Macaca fascicularis: one gene and its partner. The protein of the gene in region 1 interacts with the protein of each later gene in a pairwise test. Links are inferred from orthologs where the notes say so. Each region holds a gene or a part of one and is shown on either strand. Other genes may lie near its edges.

Region 1 (16,484 bases):
GATGCGCGGGAGGTAGGACTTGAGTTGGGCCTTGAAGGCTGAAGGATTTCGGTGGACTGAAGAGGAAGGAAAGGGCATTTCAGGCTTGAGAAGCAGTTACAGGCAGGCTGATGGAGGTAGAGTGAGCAGGACAAGTTGATGAGGCAGGAGAGAGCTTGGCTCCACCCTGTGCCATCTGTTTGTCTGGCACATCCTTTCCTTGTCAGCTCTCCATTTTCTGTATCAGGAGTCGTATTGGATTACTTGTAACAGACTGAAAAAAACGACTACTACAACTCAGGGTTTCCCCCTCCACTCCGGTAATGGAACAGTCCAGGGTGGTATAGGAGCAACATTGGAAAACAAGCTCCTTCCACTCTCCCCTTCCAAGACTGGGTAATTTATTAAGGAAAGAGGTTTAATGGACTCACAGTTCTGCGTTGCTGGGGAGGCCTTGCAATTATGGCAGAAGGCGAAGGGGAAACAAAGACACATCCTACATGGTGGAAGGCAGGAGAGCTTGTGCAGGGGAATTACCATTTATAAAACCATCAGGCCAGGTGCAGTGGCTCATGCCTGTAATCCCAGCACTTTGGAAGGCAGAGGTGGGCAGATCGCCAGAGGTCAGGAGTTTGGGACCAGAGTGGCCAACATGTTGAAACCCCATCTCTACTAAAGATGCACAAATTAGCTGGGCATGGTGGCAGGCACCTGTAATCTCAGCTACTTGGGAGGCTGAGGCAGGAGAATTGCTTGAACCCAGGTGACAGAGGTTGCAGTGAGCTGAGATCGCACCACTGCACTCGAGCCTCGGCAACAGAGCAAGACTCCATCTTAAAAATAAAAACAAAAACAAAAACAACCATCAGATCTCGAGACTTATTTACTATCACGAGAACAGCCCCCATGATTCAATTACCTCCCACTGGGTCCGTCTCATAACACATGGGAATCATGGGAGTTATAATGAGATTTGGGGACACAGCCAAACCATATTATTCCACCCCCAGCCCCTTCCAAAGCACATGTCCTCACATTTCACAACCAATCATGCCTTTGCAACAGTCCCCAACAGTCTTAATTCATTTCAGCATTAATTTAAAAGGCCACAGTCCAAAGTGTCATCTGAGAAAAGGCAAGTTCCTTTCACCTATGGGCCTGTAAAATCAAAAGCAAGTTAGTTACTTCCTAAATACAATGGGGGTACAGGCATTGGGTAAATACACCTGTTTCAAATGGGAGAAATTGGCCAAAACAAAGGAGCTACAGGCCCCTTGCGAGTCTGAAATCCGGCAAGGCAGTCAAATCTTAAAGCTCCAAAATGATCTTTGACTCCATGTCTCTCATCCAGGGCACGCTGATGTAAGAGGTAGACTCCCACGACCTTGGGCAGCTTTGCCTCTGTGGCTTTGTAGGGTACAGTCCCTCATCCTGGCTGCTTTCAAGGCTGGCATTGAGGGTCTGTGGGTTTTCCAGAGCAGGCTGCAAGCTGTCAGTGGATCTACCATTCTGAGGTCTGGAGGACAGTGGCCCTCTTCTCATAGCTTTACTAGGCAGTGCCCCAGTGGGAACTCTGCACCGGGGCTCTAACCCCGCATTTCCCTTCTGCACTGCCCTAGCAGACGTTCTCAATGAGGGTTCCACCCCTGCAATACACCTCTGCCTGGACATCCAGGCGTTTCCATACACCCTCAGAAATCTAGGTGGAGGTTCCCAAACCTCCATTCTTAACTTCTGAGCACCCGCAGGCTCAACACCACATGTACACCGCCAAGGCTTGGGGCTTGTACCCTCTGAAGCAGCAGCCTGAGTTGTACATTGGCCCCTTTTACATTGGCACCATTCTGGGGTCTGGAGCACAGTGGCCCTCTTCTCACAGCTCTACTAGGCAGTGCCCCAGTGAACACTCTGCCCTGGGGCTCTAACCCTGTGTTTTCCTTCTGCACTGCCCTAGTAGAGGTTCTCAATGAGGGCTCTGCCCCTGCAGCACACCTCTGCCTGGACATCCTGTTGTTTCCAACATCCTCAGAAATCTAGGTGAAGGTTTCCAAACCTCTATTCTTAACTTCTGAGCACCCGCAGGCTCAACACCACATGTAAACCACCAAGGCTTGGGGCTTGTACCCTCTGAAGCAGCAGCCTGGGTTGTGCATTGGCCCTTTTTAGCCATGGCTGGAGGGGCTGGGACACAGGGCACCAAGCCCCTAGGCTGCATACAGCAATGAGGCCTGGACCTGGCCCAGGAAACCATTTTTTCCTTCTAGGCATCTGGACCTGTCATGGGAGGGGCTGCCATGAAGGTCTCTGACATGCTGTGGAGACATTTTCTTTGTTGGCTTGGTGATTAGCATTTGACTTCTAGTTACTTATGCAAATTTCTGCAGCCAGCTTGAATTTCTCCCCAGAAAACGGGTTTTTCTTTTCTACTGCATCATCAGGCTGCAAATTTTTCAAACTTTTGTGCTCTGCTTCCTCTTGAATGCTTTGCCACTTAGAAATTTCTTTCACCAGCTGGGCGTGGTGGCTCATGCCTATAATCCCAGCACTTTGGGAGGCCGAGGCAGGCAGATCACAAGGTCAGGAGTTTGAGACCAGCCTGGCCAATCTGGTGAAACCCTGTCTCTACTAAAAATACAAAAATTAGCCAGGCATGGTGGCAGGCACCTGTAGTCCCAGCTACTCAGGAGGCTGAGGCAGGAGAATCACTTGAATCTGGGAGGCAGAGGATGCAGTGAGCCCAGATCATGCCACTGCACTCCAGCCTGGGCGACAGGGTAAGACTCTGTCTCAAAAAAAAAAAAAAAAAAAAGAAATTTCTTTCACCAGATACCATAATCATGTCTCTCAAGTTCAAAGTTCCATAGATCTCTAGGGCAGGGGCAAAATGCCACCAGTCTCTTAGCACAGCAAGAGTCACCTTTACTCTAGTTCCCAACAAGTTTCTCATCTCCGTCTGAAACCACCTCAGCCTGTGCCTTATTGTCCATATCACTGTCAGCATTTTGATCAAAACCATTCAACAGGTCTCTAGGAAGTTCCAAACTTTCCCACATTTTCCTGTCTTCTGAGCCCTCCAGACTGTTCCAACCTCTGCCTGTTAACCAGTTCCAAAGTTGCTTCCACATTTTGGGGTGTCTTTACAGCAGTGCCCCACTCCGGATACCAGTTTACAGTATTAGTCTGTTCTCATGCTGCTGATAAAGACATAACCAAGACTGGGTAATTTATAAAGGGAAGAGTTTTAATGGACTCACAGTTCCACATGTCTGGGGAGTCCTCACAATCATGGTGGAAGGCAAAGGAGAAGCAAAGGCATGTCTTACATGGCAGCAGGCAAGAGAGAGCATGTGCAGGAGAACTGCCCTTTATAAAACCATCAGATCTTGTAAGATTTACTATCATGGGAACAGCATGGGAAAAAACCCACCCCCATGATTCAGTTACCTCCCATCAGGTCCCCCCAACAACACATGGGAATTATAGGAGCTAAAATTCAAGATGAGATTTGGGTAGGGACACAGCCAAACCATATCATACATTTTATAGTCAGTGATGTCCGGTCATCAGTTGATGGACATTCGGATTGTTTCGACTCTTTGACTTCTATGGATAATGCTGCGGTGGGCATTCACGTGCAAGCATTGGTGTAGACATATGTTTTCATTTCTCTTGAGACTATTCCTAGGAGTGAAATTGCTGGACCATATAGTACGTTTAACTTTTTTAGTGTCTTCTGTAGTGTTTTCCAAAGCAGCTGCACCATTTTATCATCCCTCCAGCAGTGTATGAGGACTAATCCTTCCATTTTTAACCTCTTGCCATAGTACCTGGGGCCTATCTCCAGCTCACCTGGGTTCAGGGTGGGTAGGTTCCCTGGGTTGCCTCTTCCTTGGGGTCCCCCTCTGCTACAGCAGGGGTCTCTGCTCTGCCTTGTCAGTTACCCTTCCTGTGCCTGTTCCTCATCTTCTGGAGGGAATTTGTATCTCCTGTCTGCTCCTCCTCTTGATTTAAACCCTCTAAACCTCCGAGGGTTTAGAGCTCTTTGGTTCCTATAGCGGGTTTGTTGGGAGCAGTGCTAACAGCGCATGCCCTAGCTGCTGTGTCTGACCAGGAGCTCCCCCTCCCAGTATGGGGTTTCCGCCTCTGCGTTCAGGTGTGTCCCCTCAGCTGGGGACTCCCTGTCTCCTCTGCCTTCCACTCTTCTTGTGAAGCCCAGCCCAGGTACTGCCAGCTTCCCCTCATGCTGTAGACTCTTCTTCTGTGTGCTACCTCTGCTTCTACCCACACTTTTCTTTTCTTTTTTTTTGTACAGATGGGGGTTTCACTTTGTTACCCAGGCTGGTCTCGAACTCCTGGGCTCAGGCAATCCTCTTATCTTGGCCTCCAGAGTGCAGGGATTACAGGCATGAGCCACTGTGCCTGGCCTACCCACACTTTTCTCCATGCTCTTGTAGTATCTGTTTTCATACTTGTCCCCCCGCCCACCCCCACCGCCTTTTAAATTTTTTTTTTTTTTTTTTTTTTTTTTGAGATGGAGTCTCGCTCTGTCGCCCAGGCTGGAGTGCAGTGGTGCAATCTCGGCTCACTGCAAGCTCCACCTCCCGGATTCACACCATTCTCCTGCCTCAGCCTCCCGAATAGCTGGGACTACAGGCGCCCGTCACAGCGCCCGGCTAATTTTTTTGTATTTTTAGTAGAGACGGGCTTTCACCATGGTCTCGATCTACTGACCTCGTGATCCGCCAGCCTTGGCCTCCCAAAGTGCTGAGATTACAGGCGTGAGCCACCGCGCCCGCCCGCCTTTTAAATTTTTTTTAAAATTGTGATGAAAAACACATAACAAAATTTACTGTCTTAACCATTTTAAAGTATATAGTTCAGTAATGTTAAGTATATTCACGTTGTGTAACAGTTTGCCTGAACTTTTGTATCTCCCCAAGCTGAAACGCCATACCTGTTGAACACTAACTCTCCCTTTCCTCCCTTCCTGCAGCTCCTGGCAATCGCCTTTCTACTTTCTGTCTCTATGAATTGTACTCCCCCAGCTACCTCATATCAGTGGAATTATACAGTTATACAGTATTTGGAGTTTTTTTGACTGGCTTATTTCACTTGGTATAAAGTCCTCAAAGTTCACCCATGTTACAGATAAGGGAACATTGGAGATTGTTGTAATCTATTTTTGCTGCTATTACAGAATACTTGAGACTGGGTAATTTATAAACAATAGAAGTCTATAGAGCTCACAGTTCTGGAATCTGCAAAGTCCAAGGGCATGGCATTGGCATCTTGCCGTGTCATTTGCAATTGGCATTATTCCATTCGGGAGCTCAGAGCCCTATGGCCTAATTTCAAAGGGGCCATCTCTTACCACTGTTCCATTGGGGATGAAGTTTCTGACACATACTTTTTGGGGAACACATTCAAACCATTGCAGAGCCTTACTCATCTGTTTGCCCTTGGAGCCTAGCACACTGCCAGGCACATTGAATAAGCTTAATTAATGATTAGCGAACTGAAGTGGCTGCAATGTCACAGGAACCTAAAAGAGGGACAGTAGAAATTGCCATAGTTGGAGAGGGTATGAGGACATCTTGACCTAGATATTATTGACCTAGTAAATGTTTTGATCATCATGGGCATTTGACAGTTATTTTCATCAGAATTATATCAACATTGGTGAATTTATGCCAAGAAATATTTTCTGCAGCAGATTCTATTATGCTCACTTAAATCCTTGCTCAATTTTTTTTTTATGTAGGTCAGTTAAACCATTTCTAATATGTAGCAAATAACAATCTGTGCTCAGATTTACAGATAAGCTATTCTGGGATTATTTCGAAAGGTAATGCTCTTTTGTGTAGAGGATTTCAAGATTAATTTGTATGCTAATTAACAAGTAAAGATCGTATCAGAACAGTGATCTTTTTTTTTTTTTTTTTTTTTTTTGAGACAGAGTCTCGCTCTGCCGCCCAGGCTGGAGTGCAGTGGCGTGATCTTGGCTCACTGCAAGCTCCGCCTCCCGGGTTCACGCCATTCTCCTGCCTCAGCCTCCCGAGTAGCTGGGACTACAGGCGCCCGCCACCTTGCCCGGCTAGTTTTTTTGTATTTTTTAGTAGAGACGGGGTTTCACTGTGTCAGCCAGGATGGTCTCGATCTCCTGACCTCGTGATCCGCCCGTCTCGGCCTCCCAAAGTGCTGGGATTACAGGCTTGAGCCACCGCGCCCGGCCCAGAACAGTGATCTTTAAGCACAGACCTGTAGCGGTCAAAAAAGTGACACAGGCGTTTCCGGTATTAATGCCAGATGCTTTGGCTTATACTCTTTGAAAGACAGCCCGAATTTCAGGCTGTGTAGAACCGACACATCCTGGAATCTAGACATACATACTGCATATCAGGAGGTGTAACATGAAAATAAACTCAAAGCAAAGGCTGGGTGTGGTGGCTCATGCCTGGAATCCCAACACTTTGGGAGGCCAAGACAGGCAGATCACTTGAGGTCAGGAGTTCGAGACCAACCTTACTAATGCGGTGAGACCCCGTCTCTACTAAATAAATAAAAATTAGCTGGGTGTGGTGGTGTTCACCTATAGTCCCAGCTACTTGGGCAGCTGAGGCAAGAGAATCGCTTGAACCCAGGAGATGGGGGCTACAGTGAGCCAAGATGGTGCCACTGCACTCCAGTCTAGGCGAGATTCCATCTGGAAAAAAAAAAAAAGAAAATAAACTCAAAGCAGCCAGAACATCCTTTAACACACATTTTCTGTATTTATTTTCTTCTACTGAAATCCTTTTCAGTGAGGTAAGGTGGGTCCTTTGCCTTGTACATTTTACAGTGGTGATTTGATTCATTGGTCAATTTTTGTTTCACTATCTAATTTTTATTGATTACAGTTTTCTTATTAAGTCCAATGCACTGGTGGAGGGGGTAGCGTGGGGTACCCAGTTTTATAGTGTGCTGTCTTTAGCTGCTCTGTGTGTGCATTCCCATGCACTACTTATTTCTGGCATAGAAAATGTATTATGAATGGAATGAAGGAATGACAACTTATGTTCATTTCTTAGCTACTGCATGGAAAAATTGGGAGCGATTCCCCTCAGGTTGTCCAGGGTGGTCCTGCCATCTAGCATGGGTCAGTTTCCTGCCAACCAAGTCTACTTGCTCCCAGTCACTTTGAAAACCACATGCGAACTGCTCACACCACTGGAGCAAAAGAGCAAAAGGCAGAACCCCAAGACTCCATTTGGGAAGGCTCCCCGCGAGGGGCGAGAAGGAAGACCTTTGCAATAGGATAAATATCTGCATTCGCCCGTTCCCCTCTGGGTCTGTAAGGCTTAGATCTCTGTTCATTTTTTCTAGGTCCATGGAAAGAAATTATTCCTTAGATTTGATCCAGATGAAGAAATGGAGGCCCCTGGCAGCAGCCCACCGCCAGAGCCTCCACAAAAAGAAGCGCAGAAGGAAGGGGCTGCGGACCCAAAGCAGGCCGGGGAGCCCAGTGGGCAAAAGACGCCTGATGGATCCTCACAGTCTGCAGAGCTCAACCCCCAGGGAGAGGATGAATCTGAGTGTTTGGAGGGAGACGCCCCTGCAGGAGATGCTGGGAGGTGGCTGCGTGTCAGCTTTGGTTTGTTTGGCAGCGTTTGGGTGAACGAGTTCTCCAGAGCCAAGAAAGCCAACAAGAGGGGGGACTGGAGGGACCCTTCCCCGAGGTAATGGTGTGGCCATCTGATTCTCAGGGGCTCTGATAGTCATAGGGCCCTGCTTGATGGGGTTTGGGACTTAAGCAGTGGGGTCACACTGAGGACGTCCAGGCTGCCCCCCACGGCCCTGCTGTCTTGGGGAGTGAGGCCACCTCTGTATCTACCAGTGACAGGAAGTAGACCGTGGTCTGCATGCAGGAGAGGGTTGTGCACCCAGAGGTGGCTGGGAGATGGGGAGAATTTTCCCAAAAAATGTGGCACTTGAGAGTGGACTGTCCCTGAAGAACATTTTACTGCCTGACTCCTGACTTGTGTGCTTTGAGTTTAGGGACAAGATTTTCCCAGTTTTAAGTATACTGTTTGTGTGTTTATGTTTTATTGAGATATAATTAACATACAATAGAATGCCGATCTTAAGTGTTCAGCTTGATGAGTTTTCTTAGTTTGTTTTGAGACGGAGTCTTGTTCTGTTGGCCCAGGCTGGAGTGCAGTGGCATGATGTTGGACAGGCTGGCTGGTCTGGAACTCCTGGCCTCAAGTGATCCGCCTGCCTCCGCCTCCCAAAATGCTGGGATTGCAGGCGTGAGCCACCATGCTTGGCCCCAGTTTTTAATCTATGAATGTTGAGATCAACATTTTGTGCATAAAACTCTAGGTTTAGGATCATATGCTCAGTGTCAATTTCCAGAGGAGTAATTGCTGCTCAGAGGGAATGCACATGCTTAGGGCTGTACATTTGATGGCCTTAGGAAAGTGCTAGTGAGCTGAAATCGCATGAATGTTAGGTTGTTTGTGTACTTCTTATCAATTTATCGAAGCCTTTGGACCGAAAGTCTGTTTGTTTTTGTGACATGTGTTGCCAGCATTGTTTGAAGTCTGTCCTCTGTCCTTTGAGCTTATGATGCCTGTTGGCATTTGGGATTTGAAATTTGTATGTCGTCAATGGTGGGTATTTTTCTTGGTTGCTCATAGGCTTCCCCTTTTACTAAAAAAAAGGTCCCTTCTACCCCCAGAGAAAGTCACATGACTTCTATTTTCTGAAGTTTTATAACTTGTAAAAATGTTTAGAACTGTAGTCTTTTTTTGTGGCATGATGTAGGTACCATAGGATGCTTTGGGCTTCTGTGGTCCAGAGATTTTGGGCTCACATGACTGGAAGTTCAGAAGGAGGGTAGGCTTTGGGGTTGCAGTTCTGAGGTTCTGACTTCATGTGATTCTCCTGGCTTTGCACTTTCCACACATTGGTTTTGTCCTTAGACGAGCAGCAAAAGGCTACTGCAGCTCCAGGATTTTATTTACACTGAAAAATCCAGAAGATGAGAAGATCATTTTTAGAAGTTCAGATGAGGAAAGTTTTCTTAGAACCTCCAGCAAACCTCTCATCATCAGGAGCCTGCCCTTTGCTGAGTCCTGGATTAGTCACCAGCTGGAGGCATTGAAATGCTCTCCACGAAGCAGGCTCACTCCTAGGTTTTCAGATATGTTGCCATAGAGTGAATGTGTATCATGCCATTATTTTTAAATCTCTGTTTACCTGGTTATGTCTCTTTTCTCATTTACATGTTTTATATTTATTTTGCTTTGTCTCTTTTTTCTTTAATAGGCTTGCCTGAGTTTTATCTACTTTGTTGGTCTTTGAAATAAATAATATTAGCTTGCCAGGCATAGTGACTCCTGTCTGTAATCCCAGCACTTTGGGAGGCTGAGACAGGAGGATCACTTGTGCCCAGGAGTAAGAGACCAGCCTGGGCAACATAGTGAAGACCCTGTTTCTACAAAAAATAAAAATAAAATTAACCAGGTATGGTGGTACATACCTGTAGTCCCAGCTACTTGGGAGGCTGAAGTGGGAGGGTAGTTTGAGCCAGGGAGGTTGAGACTGCAGTGGGCTGTGATTGTGCCACTACACTCCAGCCTGGGCAACAGAGCGAGACCCTGTCTCCAAATAAATAAATAAATAAAATTAGCTTTATATATCCTTTCTATATGGAAAGGATATATGGAATATTGAAAATATTAGGTCAAGTGTGGTGGCTCACACCTGTAATCCCAGCACTTTAGAGGCCGAGGTAGGTGGATCACCGGAGGTCAGGAGTTTGAGACCAGCCTGGCCAACATGATGAAACCCCATCTCTACTAAAAGTACAAAAAATTAGCCAGGTGTGGTTGTATACACCTGTAATCCCAGCTACTCGGGAGGCTGAGGCAGGAGAATCGCCTGAACCTAGGAGGCAGAGATTGCAGTGAGCCAAGATAGTGCCACTGCACTCCAGCCTGGTGATGAGAATGAAACTCCATCTCAAAAAAAAAATTATAAGTCAAAAATGCGTCTAATATGCCTAGCCTACCAAACATCCTGGCTTAGCCTAACCTACCTTATATGTGCTCAGAACAATTACATTAGCCTACAGTTGGGCAAAATCATCTAACACAAAGCTTGTTTTATAAAATGTTGAATATCTCATGTAATTTATTGAATACTGCACTGAAAAGAAAGGTTTTATAGGTACTCAAAGTATGGCTTTTACTGAGTGTGCATTGATTTTGTACCATTATAAAATCAAAAATTAAAAGTGAACCATTGTAAGTCAGGGATGTGTGTATGTGTGTATGATCCAACCATAGAGTGTGCTCTGACTATATCAACCTCAACATCATGGTAACGATGTGGGGATGTGGGGATGTGTGTATGATCCGACCACAGAGTGTGCTCTGACTATATCATGGTAACGATGTGGGGATGTGTGTATGTGTGTATGATCCGACCACAGAGTGTGCTCTGACTACATTGTGGTAACGATGTGGGGATGTGTGTATGATCCAGCCACAGAGTGTGCTCTGACTATATCGTGGTAACAGTGTGGGGATGTGTGTATGTGTGTATGATTCAACCATAGAGTGTGCTGTGACTATATCACGGTAACGATGTGGGGATGTGGGGATGTGTGTATGATCCGACCACAGAGTGTGCTCTGACTATGTTGTGGCAGCGATGTGTACATATGACCTGTTCTTTCTTCCCAGGTTGGTCCTGTACTTTAGTGGTGGTGGCTTCCTGGCATTTTATAATTGTCAGATGTCTTGGAGCTCTTCCCCCGTGGTCACACCCGCCTGTGACATCCTGTCTGAGAAGTTCCATCGAGGACAAGCCTTAGAAGCTCTAGGCCAGGCGCAGCCTGTCTGCATTACACTGCTGGACCAGAGATACTTCTCCGGGCTAGGTATGACTCATGGGAAAGGGGTGAGTCCACAGACTTGCTTCATGGAAAAGTCGCTCCTGTGGGAGTCACAAGACCTGAGGCCCACCCTAGTTGTGCCAGTGCTGTTGGTCTTGAGGTGCCACTTGCTTAATCTCCTTTGTTTTACTTCCCTTGTTTTTAGACTGAGGGCATTAGATCAGGCAGTTTTTAGCTTGTCTCTGGGCTTCAGAATCCACACCCTAACTGTGTTATCAGTTGTGAGCCTTCTGCCAGCAGCGCTGGAACATCGCCTCCTAAAGGGCAGGGTCATGTCTCGGGCACCTCTGTACCCTCCACAGCACAGTGCAGTGCCTGGCACACAGGAGGTGCCTGACCCGTATCTGTAGGGACTGAAGTCGTGCAGGCTACTACCAGAGGAGTGAGTGCACGTTCTAAGGGATGCTGCTCTTGGGTGGATGCACAGATGACTCAGTCTACACTGGGTTCTTACAAGACACGAGTGAAGAAGAGTTTCCCTCTCTCTATTGCAGTGGCATGAGCAGTGAAACCGTGAGCATTTCAGAATAGGGAGAAGAGAGGAACAATTTCAAAAATACATGTAACAGCTAATTAGCTGGACTATGAGAGCGTGCCATTCTTACTACCCACAGCAGGGGAATAATTGTGCCCAAAATTGGCTGCTGAAGCAATCAGGCAAGTTGGTGGTGACAGAGTCACCTCCATATCCAACATGTGGCTTTGCTGCCTGCTCACCTCCCCTCACGAGGGTCGGAGAAGGCCCGGTGGTGCACCAGGCACTAGCCTTGCGTTTTCATGTTAGGACCATGGGAGTCCCTGTGCCCTCAGGAGCAAAGAGCCATCGGAAGTGGCTTTTTGGGTATATGTGGCAAGAGCTAATAAAGTAACAGTAGTAATTAATAATGGCCAGTGTTTTCCAAGCAGCTCTGATGTGCCAGGCACATGTTTTTGTCCTTAGTGCTGATCCATAGGATGGTCATAGTGGGTTTCCCTTCCTTCAGATGAGGAAACTGAAGCAGAGAACGCATCTCTAGTACACGGTGCAGCTGAGATGTGAATCCAGGTATTCTGTCAACGAATTCTGGAGAGATCGATGTGTGTAATGAGGAGTGTGACTATGAGGCTCTTGGAAAAAGCAAGAATTTCCTTCACCTGCTCACTCCAAACACACAGACACTCCCTTGACCTCTGTCACGCTCACCATCTCTCCTTAAGGAGATCATTGTTTAATGTCCCAGCAAGCACAGACTCAGTCCACTGCGAGTTAGGAAAGATTGCTATGAATGCCTGGTGGAGCTGAAAGAGTATGGTTGGAACATTCCAAAGAGAGTTACTGATTCTGGAAGGAGGGATCGAGGCTGGCTTCACAGAGAATGAAGCAGGAGTAGAAAAATCATAAGATAACACCTCCCCAAACACTTTCTACATAACGAGCATTATGCTTGGTATTTCATTTTATTTTATTTTTTGACACAGGGTCTCTCTCTGTCGCCCAGGCCGGAGTGCAGTGGCATAGACACAACCCACTGCAGCCTCAACTTCTGTGGCTCAAGCGATCCTCCCACCTCAGCCTCCTGAGTAGCTGGGACTACAGGTGCATGACACCACGTCTCACTAACTTTTAAAATTTTTGTAGAGACAGGCTCTCACTATGTTGCCCAGCTGGTCTTCAACTTGTGGGCTCAAGCGATCCTCCTGCCTCTGCCTCCCGAAGTGCTGGGATAACAGGCATGAACCACTGTGCCTAGCTATGCTTGACATTTTGTTTTTAATTAAAAAAAAATTTTTTTTTGAGATAGTCTCGCCCTGTTGCCCAGGCTGGAGTGCGGTGGCACAATCTCAGATTACTGCAACCTCTGCCTCCCAGTTCAAGCGATTCTCATACCTCAGCCACCTGAGTAGCTGGGATTACAGGCAGGTGCTACCATGCCTGGCTAATTTTTGTATTTTTGGTAGAGATGGGGTTCACGATGTTGTCGAGGCTGGTCTTGAACTCCTGGCCTCAAGTGATTCACCCGCCTCGGCCTCTCAAAGTGCTGGGATTACAGACATGAGCTACGGCACCAGGCCGACATTTTAAATAATAACAACAGTTAATATTTATTGAGTACTCTACATACCAGCCACTGTGCTCAGCGTTTTTTAGTGAATTCTCATTTACTGCTCACAAAAACCAGGTGAGCCATCCCTGCCTTACAGATAAGGAAACTGCAGCTAATTGAGACTGAGGAGCTTGCCAGGGTCACGTGGGTAGGATCTGCTTGAGCTGGGATTCAAGTGCAGGCAGTCAGATGCCCGACCCCTTTTTGATAGCCTATTTGCCATGACGGGCCATGCATGAGTTTCATTTCATCTTCACAGCAACCTTAAAGGTAGGAGTTGTCAACTCCAATTTACAGACAGAGAAGCGGAGTCAGAGATCGCGGACCTGCCCAGGGTCCCACAGGACGTGGAAGAGCTGACTTCTGCCGTGCTAACTTTGTGGGTGGTTTCATCGTGCCATGTGTCCTTTCTCCTTCGCTTACCCTCCCCTGCTTTATTTCAGGGAACATCATTAAGAATGAAGTCTTGTACAGAGCTGGGATCCATCCCCTTTCTCTTGGTTCAGCCCTGAGTGCCCCGCGTCGGGAGGCCCTGGTGGATCACGTGGTGGAGTTCAGTACAGCCTGGCTGCAGGGCAAGTTCCAGGGCAGACCGCAGCACACGCAGGTCTACCAGAAAGAACAGTGCCCTGCTGGCCACCAGGTCATGAAGGAGGCGTTTGGGCCCCCAGGTGGGTTCCAGAGGGTCACCTGGTGGTGCCCACAGTGCCAGCCCCAGTTGTCAGAGGAGCCGGAGCAGCGCCAGTTCTCCTAAGGAACTCGTGGTGCTCTTCCTGGAACCTGGCCCTTGGGGAACCTGACGTCTAAGTGTCCAGAAAGGAGGATGTGGGCAGGGATGGGGTGCAGAGGGTAGTGTATGTCGGGGTGCCAGGATTATAATAATCACCTCCCTGGAGTTATGTTGAAAGCAGAGTTTTCATAGGATTAGATTCTTTTTATCCTTTTCTAGTTCAGTGAATTCATCCTATTGAATTGCATCATAGTGAAAGATGAGAGAAATCGTGATGATGGGGAAGGGGAGAACCTCCCAGAAGGCACTGGGGCAAGGCAAAAGCAAGCCTGTGGGAAATGGCTGAGCTCCCAGCACGGCTTTGCAGGTGATGTGGGGTTTTGTTTTTGTTTTTGTTTTGAGACAGGGTCTTGCTCTGTCTCCCAGGCTAGGGTGCAGTGGCATGAGCTTGGCTCACCGCAGCCTTGCCCTCCTAGGCTCAAGCAGTCTTCACCTCAGCCTCCAGAGCAGATGGGACTACGGGCATGTGCTGTGATGCCTGGCTGATTTTTGTTTACTTTTTATAGAGATGGGGTCTTGCCATATTGGTTTTGAACTCCTGCAACTCAGGCAGTCCTCCCACTTTGGCCTCCCGAAATGTTGGGACCACAGGTGTAAGCCACCGCTCCTAGCCAGCTCCTGTGTTTTGCTTTTGTTTTGTAACTTTGGTTGATGTTAAGGCCCTCCATTTTGGAAAGCAGGAAAACAGGTGGTTCTTTGTTTTTTTTGTTTTTTTTTTCTCTTCCCCTGGAGGATCCAGGGATGAGGATAGAGTGACCTGAGAGCAGTGCTTGGATTCAGCCTCCTGCCGGGTCCTTCCTGCTGGACACAGACACCAAGAGGCGGGGGTGGAGCAGGGAGCTGCGCCTTCCTGGGGTGCCCAGTGGTCCGTAGAGAAGAGCTGCTTGTTTCTCCTTAAGTCAGTGTGTTTGTGACTGTTGACACGTTGAACAGTTCAGGAATCAAGGGCTGTGGAGAACTCCCTCCGGTTGTTGACAACAGGTGAATGAAGCTAGAGCAGCAACATGAAAATAAAGCTCTCTGTTACTTGGCTGTTGTCATCTTTCTTTGGTAGTAAAGGTCTTTAAATAACAGAACTATTCATGGAGGTGGCCTGCAGGGCTTACTGGATTCGCTGAGGAATCTACATAAAAGGAGCAGTGACAGGAGGTGAGGGCACACCTGCTCTTCTGCCCCAGGCGAGCAGAGATGGACTAAAGCTCTGTCACCGTGGTGTCTGCACAGAGATTTGTGAGAGTGAAACAGAAAACACCGGCTGATGATTCTGGCTTTCCTTTATTCTCACACACGCACGTTCTTTTTTTTCTTTTTCTTTCTTTTTTTTTTTTTTTTTTTTTTTTGAGACAGGGTCTCACTCTGTTGCCCAGGCTGAAATACAGTGGTGTGACCATGGCTCACTCCCGGGCTCAGGTGATCCTTCCACCTCAGCCTCCCCAGTAGCTGGGACTACAGGTGTGCACCACTATGCCCGGCTAATTTTTGTATTTTTGTATAGACGGAGACTCACCATGTTGCCCCAGCTGGTCTTGAACTGCAGGCCTCAAGTGATCTGCTTGCTTCGGCCTCCCAAAGTGCTGGGATAACAGGCATGAGTCACCGTGCCCCACCTCCTCTGTCTTCAATGATTGAGAACGGTCAACAGTGCGGAGAGCCACTTGATGGCAGACTGAATCTCTTGTACTGAAGGCTCCCCCTGCAACCAGGTGCTCTCCCTGTGTTGAGGGCTCTCTCTCCCTCACCCAGTCCTCACCACTTCGCTTACTTCTTGCACATGATCTACAAAACAACTCATGAAGACAGGTACTCACCCTTGTCCTTATGTTATAGATGAGAAAACAAAAGAGTCTAGAGAGGCTGAGGGCCTCGCCTAAGCTCACACAATTACCAAGGGCCAGAGCCACCCCTGAGTCAGCTCCGGCTGCTGTAGTGTGCCATAGGTGGGTGACTGAAACAGCAGACTGTTATTTCTCATAGTTCTGGAGCCTGGGAAGCCCAAGATCAAGGGCTGGCTGACTCGGTCCTCAACGAGGTCACACTGGGAATTAGAGCTTTATATGTGAATTTTAAGGGAACAGAATTCAGTCTGTTGCAGGCTACAAAGGAATTTGGGAGAAAATCCTCAACTTCTCAAAGGCCATCTCCTCCCACTCCTTAAAAAAAGGTACATACAATAGCTTATAAAAACTTCACTTTCCCTTCATGAAGCCCTGGATTTAAGAAAAAATGAATGAAACCTCAATTCCAGAATAGACGACGGGAAAATATTGAATAATGGATTTATTTGTATTTAGAAGAGTGAAGAGCATACTCATGCATTCGTGTATATATATGCACATATATAAAACATGTAACATTAAAGAATGTGGGCCGGGCATGGTATCTCATGCCTGTAATCCCAGCACTTTGGGAGGCAAGGCAGGTGGATCACCTGAGATCAGGAGTTCAAGACCAGCCTGGCCAACATGGTGAAACCCTGTGTCTACTAAAAATACAAAAATCAGCCTGGTATGGTGGTGGGCACCTGTAATCCCAGCTACTTGGGAGGCTGAGGCAAGGGAATCATTTTAACCGGGGAGGCAGGGGTTGCAGTGAGCCGAGATCATGCCACTGCACTCTAGCCTGGCAACAGAGTGGGACTCTTATCTAAAAAAAAAAAAAAAAAAAAAAAACGCGCGTGTGTGTGTGTGTG
Region 2 (15,569 bases), on another chromosome or scaffold:
AATCAGAATGCAGGCAGTGGTGCTCACCAAATTCCAGGAATGGTGATTTCCCCTTCAGATATGGGAGTTTGAGATGCTTATAGTCATCCTAGGTGGCAAAGGGCAGTAGGCAGCAGAATATAAAAGCTCAGGGACCCAGATCAGGCATAGGAAGTGGTGGCCTGGGGCCAGAATGACTCAATTCCAAACCCAGCTTCATCACTGGAGTGGTCAGTTTTTACGAGCTGGTGTGGCAGTGACAAATGACCCACAAATCATTGGCTTACAACAACAAATGTTTATATCCTCATTGACATCTATGAAGGCTGTGGGGTCAGCTTTACCTTTGTTCTACATTTTTCTCCTTCTGGAGGCCAGTTCCATGTTTTTCTCCTTCTGGAACCCAGGGAACCTCCATTTCAGCCTTGTACAGAGGGAAAAGAGCAGGAGCACAGCAGTGTGATGACCTGTAAAGCTTCTGCTTGGATACAACACATGTCCTTCTGCTCACATTCTATTGGCCAAAGCAGGCCACAAGGACAAGCTGATGTCAATTAGGCGAGGAAGTGTGCCCTTACCACGGCAGGTGTATCATATGGCAATGATCAGGGAAGCATTTCCCCAGTGGAGAGGGAAGAAGATACCTGGGCCAAATAATACAATCCACCCCAAACACTAATCACATAAAATCTCGGGAGTTTACTCAGCTTCTCTCCGCCTTGGTTACCTCATGTGTGAAATGGGAATTACAGTAGTACTACCTCTTAGGATGGCTAAGAGAATTCACTTAGTTTGTACATGTAAAGCAGAACAGTGCTCAATATGGCACAAATGCTATGTAAATGTAGGTGAATGGAGGAGAGGGGATAGGGATTAGTAGTCCATAGGCACAGGGTTTCAGTTTGGGAAGATGAAAACGTTCTGGAGATGGATAGTGGCAGTGGTTGCACAACAATGAGAAAATGCTTAATGCCACGGAACTGTGCACTTCAAAATGGTTAACATGATAACTTTTATTTTATGTTAGTGTATTTTACAACAATTTAAAAAAATGTAGGCCAGGCGAGGTGGCTCATGCCTGTAATCCCAGCACTCTGGGAGGCCGAGGCGGGAGGATCACCTGAGGTCAGGAGTTTGAGACAAACCTGACCAACATGGTGAAACCCTGTCTCTACTAAAAATACAAAAATTAGCCAGATCCCAGCTACTCAGGAGGCTGAGGCGGGAGAATCGCTTGAACCCAGGAGGCAGAGTTTGCGGTGAGCTGAGATCGTGTCACTGCACTCCAGCCTGGGCGACAGAGCGAGACTGTTTCAAAAGACAAAAACAAACAAAAAAAGTAGGTGGATGGGATCATCTGGGGAGAGACTGAAAAATAGGGAAGGTGGTGGTAGAAAGAGAAAACCTTGAAAACCAGCCATGAGAGCAGAAGCGTCGAGAAATGGGCCTACATGAGGGACAGAGAAGGAACATCTAGGACAGATGAGGAAAGCCAGAAGAGGATGATGTCCCCTGAAGCCACGGAGTTGAGTTTCCAGCAGGAGGGTAGATGGGGGTGACTGAGCGTGTCTATGTTGCTTGGCTGTGAACCTGAACCTGAGCCACTGAACCCACCTCTGTTTGGCACCTTGATTTTGGTAGGTCTGCCTGATTCCAGCTCCTGCTGATGTCACTTCCAGGCACTGCCCACACCTGGCCCAGGCTGCATCAATGCAAGATTCTGGCCAGGTCTCCTCTACTGCCTCCCTCTCTCACCTCCCCGTAGCCAGTCCTGTTTTGTCCATTGTTGATATCTTGGTGAGACAAATTGTATTTTAGTTAAAAAGACATAGGGCCAGGTGCAGTGGCTCATGCCTGTAATCTCAGCATTTTGGGAGGCCAAGGCAGGTGGATCACAAGGTCAGAAGATTGAGACCATCCTGGCTAACATGGCGAAACCCAGTCTCTACTAAAAATACAAAAAAATTAGCCAGGCATGGTGGCGGGCACCTGTAGTCCCAGCTACTCAGGAGGCTGAGGCAGAGCTTGCAGTGACAGTGAGCCGAGATGGCACTACATTCCAGCCCGGGCGACAGAGTGAGACTCTGTCTCAAAAAAAGAAAAGAAAAGAAAAAAAGGACATAGAGGCCAGGTGTGGTGGCTCATGCCTATAATCCCAGCACTTTGGGACACAGATGCAGGTGGATCACCTGAGGTCAGGAGCTGGAGACCAGACTGGCCAGCATGGAGAAACCCCATCTCTACTAAAAATACAAAAATTAGCTGGGCGTGATGGCGCATGCCTGTAATTCTAGCTACTCAGGAGGCTGAGGCAGGAGAATCACTTGAACCCAGGAGGTGGAGGTTGCAGTGAGCCAAGATGGTGACATTGCGTCCCAGCCTGGGCAACAAGAGTGAAACTCTGTCTCAAAAAAAAAAAAAAAAAAAAAAAAAAAAGACAGAGAATATGGGATATTTTTTCTTATGTCATTTTTACTACTATTAATATACACTTTTCTACCTTGAAAAATAAAATCTCCAAACTTTGAATTTAAACATTGGGAATGGTTACTTTGTGGTCAAGATTACTCTATTAACAATGTTTTGTTTACAAAACATTGACTATTTGATAGGTCATAGTTTAGGGAAACTGAAAGCTAAACTTTTACAATGAGAAATGAAGACCATGCATTTGCATGGGAGAAAAAAAAATTTGGGGGCAACAATTATATTTGGTACCTACCTTTTGAAAAACTAAAGGGGGACAGCTCTGTCTAGATCATTTCTTGCCGTTTTCTCTTGCTTCTAGACATTGTCTGGTCAATCAGAAGGTTGCACACAAGAGCTGTTGTTGTTCGCTCTGCAAAGAAAAAGGCCTGGGAACTTTGCTTTTTATTGATTTTATTTCTCCAAGAGTTTTCTTACAAAGTGAATTGACCTTGCACAATTAGTTTGATGTAATCTTAAGAAAATACATGAAGTATGCTTTAGAAAAAATCATGCTCTAACCAGCCATCTCATTTGGCAATCATTTTCCACAGCTCTTGCCCTTTTTGGGGTGGAGAGGTGGGGTTACATGTGAATGATTACATCTGCGTACAAGAGATCCAAACTCACGTTGACCTCCCTCTGCAACACCAGCTGGTGTTGGGAGACAGAGCGCTGAGGCAGCCAGGGCTTCAGTCCCTCATGCTCTTTGGCCAGCAGTCCTCAAGTGGCATCTCCAGAAGACCTGGCTGAGGTCTGGGCAGTCCACACACAAAAACCTAGCATTTCCTCCCACAATAACAGCATTTGTAGAACACACAGCAAGAGCTTAAATCCATGCCATGGAGGAAAAGGGATTTTCTCGTCCCCCTTTGCAGTCACAGGACACTGTAGCTAGAGAACCTTCTATGCCAGGGTTCCGCATCTCCAGGCCCTCATCCGAGCCCTCCTTATTATCTCCCCTCCCCTCCAGAATGTAGGGGACACTTTCTAGACTCTATGTTGTTTCCAGCCCATAGTTGTTCAGCCCAGCAACTGGGCATCTGGAGAGGTTTTCAATCCACAAATCGTGGATTTAAAGGGAGTAGCTGCTCCTTTTCTCTGGAGCACAGCCCAACAGCCCCTGCTATATCCCTAAATTGATTTTGATTTTGAAGCAGCAGGTGCTGTCATGGGTTCATTCTTGTCCACCCAGTCAAGCCTGTGTGGACGGGCCTATATGGGGACACAGAAACCTACATGAGGCTATTTTTCTGTCTTCTCTAGTCAGTGCTTATAAGTGTCCCCACTTAGCCAACAAATTTGGAGATAGGGATGGGTTTCTGGCTTGCAGCAGCTGAGTTGCTGTCCTTGACTCTCCACATTCTGATTTTTCTTGGGGTTTGGGGACAACTAAGGGGCCCCAAAGCCTCAGATGTACAGCCCATAGAGGAAGGTGGGCAAGGGCGTGTGTCTCCATCATTTCCTTCCTTTTGAAGCATTTACTATCCGAGTCGCCAGCTGGTTCCAAAGCGTCTCTCCCACCAGGCCAGGTGGTGTCCAGACCAGAAGGAGGCCTGGCTGACACAGGAGAACGGCAGTAGGAGGAGGCATGGGTGGCAGCCAAGAGACCCTGAGAAGCAGTGTCTCTGAAGCTGTTTCCAGATTCATCCGGCCTGGTAGGATCTCTGTCTGATTCCATGAGAGTGTGGGAGCAAAGGCCCTAGGGAAGAGGCTGCTAAGAGGTTGGATAGAACTTCCTGGACAACTCTAAGACTCCCAGGAATGCTGGGCAGTTTCATATCTAAGAGTCAGTGAAAGATGTGGAGAGGCTGCCCCGGCTGGGGAAGGAAGAGGGTAAAGGTGGCATTGGGGTGGGGGTAGTTGGGTAGGGGGCTCAGTCCTTAGTCATTTTTCCTCCACGCAGAATCTCACTCTGAACTTGGAGAGGCTGCAGAGTCCCCATCCTCGGGGTCCTGCCCATTGGGGGAGATGGGCTGACCTCCCTTCACACGCTTCCACTTCATCCTTCGGTTCTGGAACCACACTTTGACCTAGGGGAGGAAGCAAAGGAGCCTGGGCACTCCAGGGCTGGTGTGACCTCCTTCCCATGTCAATGCTCAGGCTAGCCAGGGTGTAACTCCAGGGACCCCAGCTTGAAACCATCACTTACCACTCTCTACTCCCCAAACGCCCCAGGAACTAAGACCAAAGAGAGGACACACCAATCTGCCCAGAGGTCTGTCTTGTGTCTTGGGATAAAGCCCCAGACAGGGGAACATGTTCTAAAAACACTCTGCATTGGCCCCACCCTCTTCACATGCCCTGCCCCACCTGTGCCAGGTCCCCCTGCGCCCTACCTCCATTCCCCAAGGGTCTGGGAGCAGAGGTCATCAGCCTTATCCTTAGGCACATTTATAGAGAACTTTTTGGTTTAGATAGCTCTGGTCAGCACATTTTCTCATCTAAGCTTGAGTATTACCTGCAGGATTATGGTCCCATTTTACAGATAGAGACCCAGAGGTCCCAGGGCTAGAAGAAGTGATAGAGGCAGGACTTGAATCTAAGTCTTCTGATTCAAAATCCAGCCCTCTAGCAGAGCGCTCTATCAACTGAAATCTGCTATCAAATATTACTGTTATTATTACTATTATTCCATATCAGAGCCTGGGTGTGGGGGTGTGGGGTGGCTGAAGGGAAAGTCCAAAACAAAGGGCCAGGGAAGTTTTTCTCAAAGTGTGCCCAGGAACCAGCTGCATATCCAGATCGCCTAGAGAACATACTAGAAATACAGATTCTCAGGCCCACTCATTATGGTAAAATCTCTCTCCAGACCTCTGGAATCCATATTTTGAACAAGTGCCTTAGAGGATTCCAACATATACTCAAGTTTGGGAATAGCCAGACCAGAGCTCCCAACCTAACTGCATATGAGAATCACCTAGGGGGCCTTTGAAAAATTCTGAGGCCTGTATCCCATCCCAGGCCAATTAAAATCATCCCTAGGGGTAGAGCCCAGACATCAGCACTATTAAAATCTCCCCAGGGGTTGGGCATGGTAGCTCACGCCTGTAATCCCAGCACTTTAGGAGGCCGAGGAGGGCGGATCACCTGAGGTCAGGAGTTTGAGACCATCCTGGTCAACATTGTGAAACCCCGCCTCTACTAAAAAAGAAGACAAAAATTAGCCAGGCGTGATGGCGCATGCCAGTAGTCCCAGCTACTCAGGAGGCTAAGGCAGGAGAATTTCTTGAAGCCAGGAGGTGGAGGTTACAGTGAGCTGAGAACGCACCACTGCACTCCAGCCTGGGTGACAGAGCGAGACTCCGTCTCAAAAGACAAAAAACAAAAAACAAAAAAACCCAAAACTCCCCAGGCTATTCTCAGGTATGGCCACAGTTGAAAACCACTGGACTGGCTGGAGGAAGAAAAAGAAGGTGAAGGGAGTGGTGGTGGGAAAGGAGGGAAGGGAGGGAGATGGGAGAGCAAATAAGAGGAGGGGCCGCTGGGGGCGCACCTGGCGCTCAGAGAGGTCCAGGTTTACCGCGATCTCGTATCTGCGGAGCCGAGTCAGGTAGTTATGATGGGCAAATTCCGCCTCCAGCTCTCGCAGCTGCTCCTTGGTGAAGGCCGTCCTCTCCTTGCGGGCCTTGCTGCTGCCCTCCGGCTTCCCTCTGTTCTCTTGGTTGTCTGGGGAGAGAGGACCCCAAAACAGGAAGACATGGGCTGAAGGAGATTCCATTCCCTTTCTTTTGCCCTTGAGCAACTAGGCAGTCTTTCCCACTCTCCCTTAATTTTACAGGATGCTGAGAAAAAAGCTACACTGTCCTTTTTATTCCTTCTGGTGTCTTACCCATATTAGAACTGGGAAGGTTTTTTTTTTTTTTTTTTTTTTTTTTTTTTTTTTTTTTTTTTTTTTTTTTGGCTGTCCCCTGCCCCTCCTCCCGGAACTTTCTTTTATTCCCAAAGCACAAGAAGCTACTCTTGGCTGTTTAATGATCTCTACTCCCCAGCCCACCCCCCAGTATGACATTACTTGTGGTCATAGGCTTGAGGGGTGAGATGCTCTAAAACAAAGCCTCAAACTATGGTCCTCAGATCAGCAGCATCAGCATTACTTGAGAGATTGTTAGGAATGCAAATCCTAGTCTCACTCCAGACCTACTGAGTCAGAAACTCTGGGGATGGCGCTCAGCAGTCTATTTTTGCAAACCCTCCAGATGCCTCTGGTGCTGTTTAAGTCCGCCGCTCTAAGACCTCATCACTCAAAGGAGTGCCTGGGTGCCAGCAGCATCAGCAGCACCAGGGAGCTGTTCAGATCTGAAGGATCTCAGGCCTGCCCCATACCTACCTACCGAATCAGAATCTGCCCCAGAGGGCCAAATCTGGAAAACCATCTGGACCCCTCTGAAGGAGGTTGCATGTTAGATTCAGTGGGGCTCAGTCATAACTGTCAACAGGGTCAGGGAACACACTCTGTGCCAGGTGCTGTACCTGACATATATTAGCCTCTTAATCCTCAATAGCCCAACCAAGTGGTTCTAGTATTAGTCTCACTTTATGGACCAGAAAATGAACACAGAGAAGTTAAGCAAATTGTCCAAGTTTATTCAGCCAGGGGGTGTGGGAGACAAGAATCAAATTCAGGCGATTTGACATACACATATTGTTCAAATGAAAAATATGTAGGGGCCAGGCGCGGTGGCTCACGCCTGTAATCCTAGCACTTTGGGAGGCCAAGGTGGGCGGATCACGAGGTCAGGAGTTCGAGACCAGCCTGGTCAACATGGTGAAACCCCGTCTCTACTAAAAACACAAAAAGTTAGCTGGGCATGGTGGCACGCGCCTGTAATCCCAGCTTCTTGGGAGGCTGAGGCAAGAGAATCGCTTGAACCCAGGAGGCGGAGGCTGCAGTGAGCCGAGATCACGCCATTGCACTCCAGCCTGGGCGACAGAGCAAGGCTCCGTCTTGGGGAAAAAAAAAAAAAAAAAAAAAAAAAAAAAAAAATATATATATATATATATATATATATATAGGAAGGGCTTACAAACGATAAAGTCCTGAACAAATAAAAGGGGTTGCATGGTTATCTCTTGAGCAGACGGGTGGGAGGCAGCTCTACCTTCACTTTAATGAATGGAGGTGGTGGGTGGAGAGGAGGTGGGAAGAAGACCACACACCTACACAATTAACTCGCGATGCATGCCACATGGCCAGGGAATGGCTGCAGGAGCCATGCGTGCGCGGCTTTAACATTTAAAAGTCGTTGGCTTCATTGTCCTCCTTTTTCTTTTGTTTTTGAGACGGAGTCTCGCTCGGCTCACTGCAAGCTCCTCCTCCCGGGTTCACGTCATACTCCTGCCTCAGCCTCCCGAGTAGCTGGGACTACAAGTGCTTGCCACCACGCCCGGCTAATTTTTTTTTTTTTTTTTTTTTTTTTTTTTTTTTTTGTATTTTTAGTAGAGACGGGGTTTCACCGTGTTAGCCAGGATGCTGTCTATCTCCTGACCTCGTGATCCGCCCACCTCGGCCTCCCAAAATGCTGGGATTACAGGCGTAAGTCACCGCGCCCGGCCCATTGTAATTTTAGACACGGAAACCGTGGCTCCGAGTGAGGTGCTTTACCGAAACCTGCGCCCCAACTTCCTGCTCCCTGAAAGACCCATCTCTGCCTTGCTGGAGAGGAGTGTTGGAAAGAGGGATCCGGTGTTTTCAGAGGCCGGGTTTAAGCTACCTGGGCGGCTGGGCTGGGGAATTCAGACCAGCTAGTGTAATGCAGAGAAGCCGCCTACGCAGTCGGCTAAGCAGCCGCATTGGGAGTGGGTGGCGAGGCAGAAACCCCACATTAACCCGGCTATCCGCTTTGGAGCTTTGAGCCTAGCTGGTTCCCCTCCCAGCACCTCCCTCTATTGCTTTCCACTCAATCCCTTTGTATTTCAGTTTCCGCGTCCTCCGCCTCCGCGCCCGTCTGCCTCGGGCTGGGCTGCTCTCTAGCAGTACGCGCGCGGTAAAGTGATTTGGGCACTTGGCCCGGCCAACCTCGCTTTGCGCGTTCCCGGCCCCCGCCGAGGCATGGAAGGGGAGTGGGTGCCGCCGTTCCGGGAACCCGAGAAAGCGGGGGAGGGGCCTGATAGTCCCGGTGCCTGATAGTCCCGGTGCCTGGGTCAGGGGTGTCGTGGCGCCCTGGCCCGGGGGTCCGCGTCCGAACCGGGTTGGCCGCCCGCGGGGCGCGCCCGGGAAGCAGGGCAGGGGGCCGAGTTCCCGGCGCGGGCTGCCTGCCCGGCGGCCTCTAGCTCCAGGCCGGAGAAGGCAGGTCCAGACCCCTCCGGAAGCGGGAGCGTGGGCTGGAGGGAAGGACGCGCAGCCCCGGGCCGGGGTCCCCGAGGAGCCCTCCGGCCTTGGCCGCCGCCAGTCCCGCGCTCCCTCCTGGCAGCAGGCCCGGGAGGGTCGTTCACAAGCGGATGACGGGCTTCCTGTAGCACAGCCCGGCCCTCGGGCCTGGAGAGAGGCAGGAAACCTGGGCTTAGACGACGGGCGCGGTCGGGGACTGGTTTCCCAATCTCCTCCTGTCCCGAGGCTCAGTGTTTCCCAGCCCTTCCTTTCCACGGTTGCGGGGAGTGGATGGCCCAGAGGACTTGCTCAGAGGCTTGAATCCTGAATCTCCTTGCTGGAGACTGAGGAAATCACTTAACTTCTCTGGGTGTCGGTCTCCTCATTAAGAAATTGAGGAAAACAATTTCACCTACCTCCTAGGGTTATTGGAAGACTGAACGCGTTAATATGTGTGTGCAAAATGCTATTAAAGTTGAAAAGTGGCGGCTCACGCCTGTAATCCCAGCACTTTAGGAGGCCAAGGCAGGCGGATGACCTGAGGTCAGGAGTTCAAGACCAGCCTGGGCAACATGGTGAAACCCCGTCTCTACTAAAAATACAAAAACTAGCCGGGCGTGGTGACGGGCACCTGTAATCCCAGCTACTCTGGAGGCTGAGGCAGGAGAATCACTTGAACCCAGAAGGCGGAGGTTGCAGTGAGCCGAGATTGCACCACTGCACTCCAGCCTGGGTGACAGAGTGAGAATACATCATAAAAAAAAAAAAAAAAAAAAAAAAAAAAAAGCCACGAGCGGTGGCTCACGCCTGTAATCCCAGCATTTTGGGAAGCCGAGGTGGGTGGATCACCTGAGGTCGGGAGTTCGCGACCAGCCTGACCAACACGGAGAAACACCGTCTCTACTAAAAATACAAACAAACAAAAAAAATTAGCCCAGTGTGGTGGTGCATGCCTGTAATCCCAGCTACTCGGGAGGCAGAGGCAGGAGAATCGCTAGAACCTGGAAACCGGAGGTTGCATTGAGCCCAGATTGCGCCATTGCTCTCCAGTCTGGGCAACAAGAACAAAACTCCCTCTCAAAAAAGAAAAAAAAAATCTAAAAATGCTGGACAAATATATTCTCCAATTTATCAGTTCCACGAGATGACACTGAAGGGCTAGGATAGAAACAGCTGCGCTTCTTGAAGGCTTCTGAGTGTGCCCAGAGGCATCCGCAGCTTTAACCTCACCACAGGGCAGCCTATGAGTGAATACTGTTCTTACCCCCTTTAGTACTCTTACCTGGGTTTGTGTGATAATTTGATTAATAGCTGTCTCCCAGGGAAACACTTTTTCTCACTCTAGCATCTAGCCATAGTTGCTTCTGTATCTGGCACAACTGCCCCCCCCCACCCCGCCCCCACCAGTTCTGCACATAATTCTCCTAGAGAGAAGAGGAAAAAGTACTTGCTAAGTATTTGCTAAATCATCCTGTTATACAGAGGAGGCAGCCTCAGACAGGCCCAGGAACTTGCCCAGTGTGCCTGGCAGCTTTTAGGTGACAGAAGGGAGATTTGAACCCAGATCTATCTGATTAGAAGCAAGGCTCTCCACTGTCTCCTGGCTAGCTGGCCCAGGTTGGGGCCTGGAGCTGGACCATGGCTGCTCGGCTTGTCACCACTTCCAGAGGTCCTGGGGGCACTATCCGATTTGCTACCCATACCTACTCTCCAAGGCCTGCTTAGGTGTGTACAGGTGCCTCATGGTGTCCCCCAAAACAACTTTCCCCGCCCTAGTTCTGCACATAGTCCTCCCTAGAGAGAAAAGGGAAAAGCAGGAGAGGACCCTTTTGGAGTTGGTCTTGGCCTGGTTGTGTGGGCAGGGCAGCTGACCACTGCCAGCCAAGCTATGCCCCATCCCTGGCCACCTCTCCTGTCTGTCATTGTCCTGATTTAGCCTCTGGGGCAGAGGAAACAGGAAGCAGCAGCCAGGGCGGGAACTGAGGGTCTCAGCTAACCCCCTGTGTGAACCTGGGGGCAATACCTACTAATGGTGGGTGGGATGGATATTGGCTCTGGGAGAGCGGTTGTCCCTTGTCAGCTTCCCAGAGTGGGATCAACGTTCACCACTGTTGGAAATGATGAAGGGACCAGAAGTATGGGAAGCAAGCTATGAAAGTTGAAGTGAAAGTTATGGCTCTCTTTGTTCTGCAACAGTATTACAAATTGCAACATATTCATCAAGATGGAAACACTAAGAGCACTTGCATTCCGTTTCTGGGAGCTGTTCGGTCATCCTGCTCATGGGCATAGTTCGTGCAACCTGCCACATGAAAGTAACTCTTGCTAGGCCAGGTGTGGTGGCTCACGCTTGTAATCCCAGCACTTTGGGAGGCCGAGGCGGGCGGATCACAAGGTCAGGAGATAGAGACCATCCTGGCTAACACAGTGAAACGCCGTCTCTACTAAAAATACAAAAAATTAGTTGGGCATGGCGGTGGGCGCCTGTAGTCCCAGCTACTCAGGAGGCTGAGGAAGGAGAATGGCGTGAACCTGGGAGGCGGAGCTTGCAGTGAACCGAGATCGTGCCACTACACTCCAGCCTGGGCAATAGAGTGAGACTCCGTCTCAAAAAAAAAAAAAAAAAAAAAAGAAGGAAAGTAACTCATGCTTCCCAGGATGGTCTGTTCCCAGGATAGTAGGATAGTACAGCTTTGTTAGGGAGCCTTCCTCGCCTCTGTGGGCCTCAGTTTCCCCATGTGTAGAAGTATGGGATTGGAGTGGATTCTATTTCTGCCAGGGAGCTGGTGTCAGAGTTCCTTCCCAGGACATAAGCCCTGATGCCCTACACTCCCTACTCTCTCTTCTGTTGGGAACCCCTAGCCTTGATGAAGTCTGAGGCTCTTCCAACTTCACATATTCTTGTCTCAGCTCCTAGTTCCTCCCTTCAGTCAGATCTGAGGTCTTACTGTATGCTCTGTCCCAAAGCCCTCCCCAGTCTTCCCGTGGCTCAACAATCAGGGCTCTGCTAGGCCGTTTCTCTCGCCCTGCCTCGAGCTGTGTGGAGGGAAGTTATATATGCAGAAGTGTTAGAGGACCTGTTGGTGAACCTGGGCCTTAGCACTCGTAGGTGAGTGAGGCACTGAGGAAGAGCTTTTGGACCTTGGGCAAGTCCTTTAGGTTCCTGGAGCTTCAATTTCCTCATTTGCAAAGCAAGAATAGCTACACCTGCTGTGCTTATCAGGCTGAGAAGTAACATGAGCTGGATAGCAGGCGTTAACACCTAGGGCAGTGCCTGGCATGTCATTGAAGCTCTGTTCACGAGAACCATCAGAAGGAGTTCTACTGGAGATTATATCTGAGATGACTCATGGGCAGAGTTAGAGCACTATGCTCCTTAAGGCACCACATCTCCAGACCTGTGTGAAAGGGTTATCTTTTAAATGTCTGGCCTTTCAGCTGCTGCTGCTTCTTCTTCCTTCTTTTCTTTTCTTCTTCCTTCTTCTTCTTCTTCTTTTCTTTTCTTCTTCCTTCTTCTTCTTTCTTCTTTCTTCTTTCGCTGAGTCTCACTCTGGTCACCCAGGCTGGAGTACAATGGCCTGATCTCGGCTCACCACCACAACTTCTACCTCTTGGGTTCAAGCGATTCTCCTGCCTCAGCCTCCAGAGTAGCTGGGATTATGGGCGCCTGCCACCATGCCAGGGTAATTTTTGTATTTTTAGTAGAGATGGAGTTTCGCCATGTTGGCCAGGCTGGTCTTGAACTCTTGACCTCAGGTGATCCACCCGCCTCAGCCTCCCAGAGTGCTGAGATGACAGGCATGAGCCACTGCACCCAGCCTAGGCCACTATTGCTGCAGCCTTCGGAGTCCCATGATTCCAGGCACAACACCTAGATGTGTCACATGGCAATTCACATCACTCCTCCCGCACTGCTTCTCTCTTGGGGGCCACAGCTGCCTCTTCCAGGATTACGGAGGGAGGATGCTGGCCCTCAGTGGGCTGCCTCTGTGGTTAGGGAGGAATTGCCCTGCCCCAGCCCCTGCATGACCCTCACCCTCTGCTGGAGCAGGGCTGTGAGGGAACAGTCAACTGCCCAGAGAAATGCAAACAGCGTATGTGTGATTGAGGTTTCCACCATGAGCTTCCACACCATCCAGGGCAAATTATTTCATACGTAGCTGCCACATTTGGCAGGCCTTCCTAAAGTGAGCAGACAGCTTTATCAGAGCTACGGGGAGGTTCAGACAGACCCAGTGGAACATGCCTTTCTGGAGTTCTGTACTCTACAGTCCAACTCTGAGGGCACCAATTTACATAAATTCATATCCAAACCAGACAGGAGGCCAAATGCCTCATATTCAAATAGCACTGTGCAGTTGACAAGGGATTTCTTTCCTCCAAAGAGAACTTCTTTTAGGCTTTCACAGATACTACAGAATCATAGAAAGTAGAGGTGGGAGGGACTTAGAGATGATCAATGTCACCTTTTCATTTTATAGGTGAGCCTAGAGAAGGTAAGGAACTCATGTAAGGATACACAGCAAGTTAGGGGCAGAATTGGGCCTAGAACTCAGATTTTCTTGATAGGAAGCTGTTTCCACCCTATTGGGCTGTCTCCTATCGTATCCTCTTAATTATTCCATTAGGTAGGTAAGGTACACATTAGCCCATTGAACATACGAGCAATTAAGACTCAGAGACTAAATGACTTGCCCAAGGCCCCTGAGACCAGTCTAGGGCTATAGCCTCGTGTCACACTGCCCTCGGGAGAGGATGAGTATGGAAGCTGTGCCTATCCTAGGGGCATTGTCTGGGTCTGGGTTCAGATCTGTCTCCCTGGGACTCCCCAGAGAGGGAAGAAGAAGGGAATATTTGAAGCATGACATCAGTAGGTGAAACCTTGGCAAATCCTCTGAAAATGGTGTCTGTAGCTTCCTGCACTGTCACAGCATGGACACTTTGATGTCCTCGTAAGCTCTCCTACTTTCAACCTCAGAAGGAGCAGTCAAAGCCCATGGAAATAGACAAGACTTGGATGGAGCCAGCCCAAGACTGGTTGGATGTTCACATCCAGGATCTCCCTGGCTTCCTGGGGTTGGCCTGACTCTCTCACTGAGCCCTGCCCCACCCCCGTGTCCAGGCCCTTTTCCTCTCCTGTAGGTGCCTAAAGAGACATGGGCAGGGCTCCCAGCCTCTCTGAGGAGCCCAGGAGTGGGGCCAGGGAATTCAGGGGATGTTTCATGGGAGAAAGGCAGGTTCTTCTGGAATGAAAATGCCTAATGCTGGCTGGGTGCGGTGGCTCACGCCTGTAATCCCAGCACTTCGGGAGGCTGAGGCGGATGGATTATGAAGTCAGGAGTCGAGACCATCCTGGCTAATATGGTGAAACCCTGTCTCCACAAAAAATACAAAAAATTCGCCGGGCATGGTGGTGGGCGCCTGTAGTCCCAGCTACTTGGGAGGGTGAGGTAGGAGAATGGCATGAACCCAGGAGGCAGAGCTTGTAGTGAGCCAAGATCGCGCCACTGCACTCCAGCCTGGGTGACAGAGCGAGACTCCGTCAAAAAAAGGAAAAAAAAAGCAAAAAAACCCTGGTGCTATAGTCTTTGCTGAGAGTCCCAGGTGGGGTGGGTTGGTGAGGGTTTCAAGAGGGGATGGGGAGGTTTCAAGAGGGGATGGGGAGAGGCATCGGTAGTTCTGGGTTTTGTTTATGTTTATAAGTTCCATATGTCACCCTCAGCTGTCACCAAAGGAAGTGTGGGCTTGAGACCCAGGCCCACTGCTCACACTGTTCCTCTACCTTTGCATGCAAAAAAAAAAAAAAAAACCTGAAAAGGATGGGGGTGGCTCCTGGCCAGAGGCCAGCGAACCAAACTGGGTGAGAAGCCCAAGTTATGGGCAGAGAGGGAGTTGGGGAAAAGGTCCAGTTCTGGAGGTCTGCAGGGGCTGTGAGTCCTGCCTCTCAGGCAGAAAGGATTCTGAATTATCCCCCCTCCCTGGGCCCAAGTGCCGCTGATTTATTCAAGCCAGAGAAATAGGTGAGTGGGCAGGACTCCTGAGTCCCTAGCATGGGAGAGTGGCGGAGCAGAGCTGAGGCAATTCCTGGGCTGACCTTCTTACAGCTCACGGGCTCACTGGACCTTTCCCTCTTCGATGTTGGTCAGGATTCTGCTGCCTCAACAGAAATGGACTTTCTCCAGAGCTTCCGACTGTACCTGATCAGGGGCCTGAGCAAGCCCAGGCATGGGATTTGTGCTGGAGCCTCTGAGTTCAGATGGTGGCCAAGGCCTGAGTCCTGCTTTGGGCTCTGAGCTTTCTTTGCTTGTCAGAAGAGGAGGTTAGGGGAGCTCTAACCAGGAGGCCGGGGATGCCTAGAGGGATACTGGCCGAGTGTGGAATTGCTGTCTCCCCTCCCACGCTGGCCACTCTGGACCATAAGACTTCTTCCTCACTGGGGGTTCTGGATATGGACTCGGGACAAGAGGGGCTGCTGCAGCTGTGCACCCCTCAAACCACACCCCACCCAGCACTGCCACAACCCTAGGCCAGTAGCATCATCAGTATCAGGCAGGACCGGCTGATGGCAGGGGGCAAAGACTCCAGCAGAGCTCAGGACACTCTGGCCTGTCTTTGAACGTGGGAAACCTGGTGTAGCCAGCTAGCATCAGGGGAGGACTTTAAAGAGAGAGGAGTGCTCATTTGCAGGTTTGGGAAAACTGGACCTAGGGGTTACCAAGTGTTGGCTGTGGACTCTGTATCTCTGATGTCATTTAGTCCCACAGCCACCTACCTTATGAAGTAGGTACTGCTATCCTCATTCCTCAGAGGAGAC

Evidence for each region.
Region 2: the proteins of NEIL2 (region 1) and MEOX1 interact in binary tests that used the Homo sapiens proteins (3 or more experiments, as listed by UniProt). The two-hybrid records come from large-scale screens. The link is inferred for Macaca fascicularis from reciprocal best matches to the Homo sapiens genes NEIL2 and MEOX1.

Annotation. Positions count from the first base shown.
Region 1 is NC_088382.1:9,124,480-9,140,963, reverse strand, and holds the end of NEIL2 (endonuclease 8-like 2), read left to right. Parts: intron 1-7,341; coding exon 7,342-7,694; intron 7,695-10,709; coding exon 10,710-10,906; intron 10,907-13,448; coding exon 13,449-13,759; 3' UTR 13,760-14,827; downstream 14,828-16,484. UniProt on the Homo sapiens protein: Involved in base excision repair of DNA damaged by oxidation or by mutagenic agents. Has DNA glycosylase activity towards 5-hydroxyuracil and other oxidized derivatives of cytosine with a preference for mismatched double-stranded DNA (DNA bubbles).
Region 2 is NC_088390.1:64,670,496-64,686,064, forward strand, and holds the end of MEOX1 (homeobox protein MOX-1), read right to left. Parts: intron 6,115-15,569; coding exon 5,942-6,114; intron 4,479-5,941; coding exon 4,356-4,478; coding exon of another isoform or gene 4,333-4,355; 3' UTR 2,843-4,332; downstream 1-2,842. UniProt on the Homo sapiens protein: Mesodermal transcription factor that plays a key role in somitogenesis and is specifically required for sclerotome development. Required for maintenance of the sclerotome polarity and formation of the cranio-cervical joints.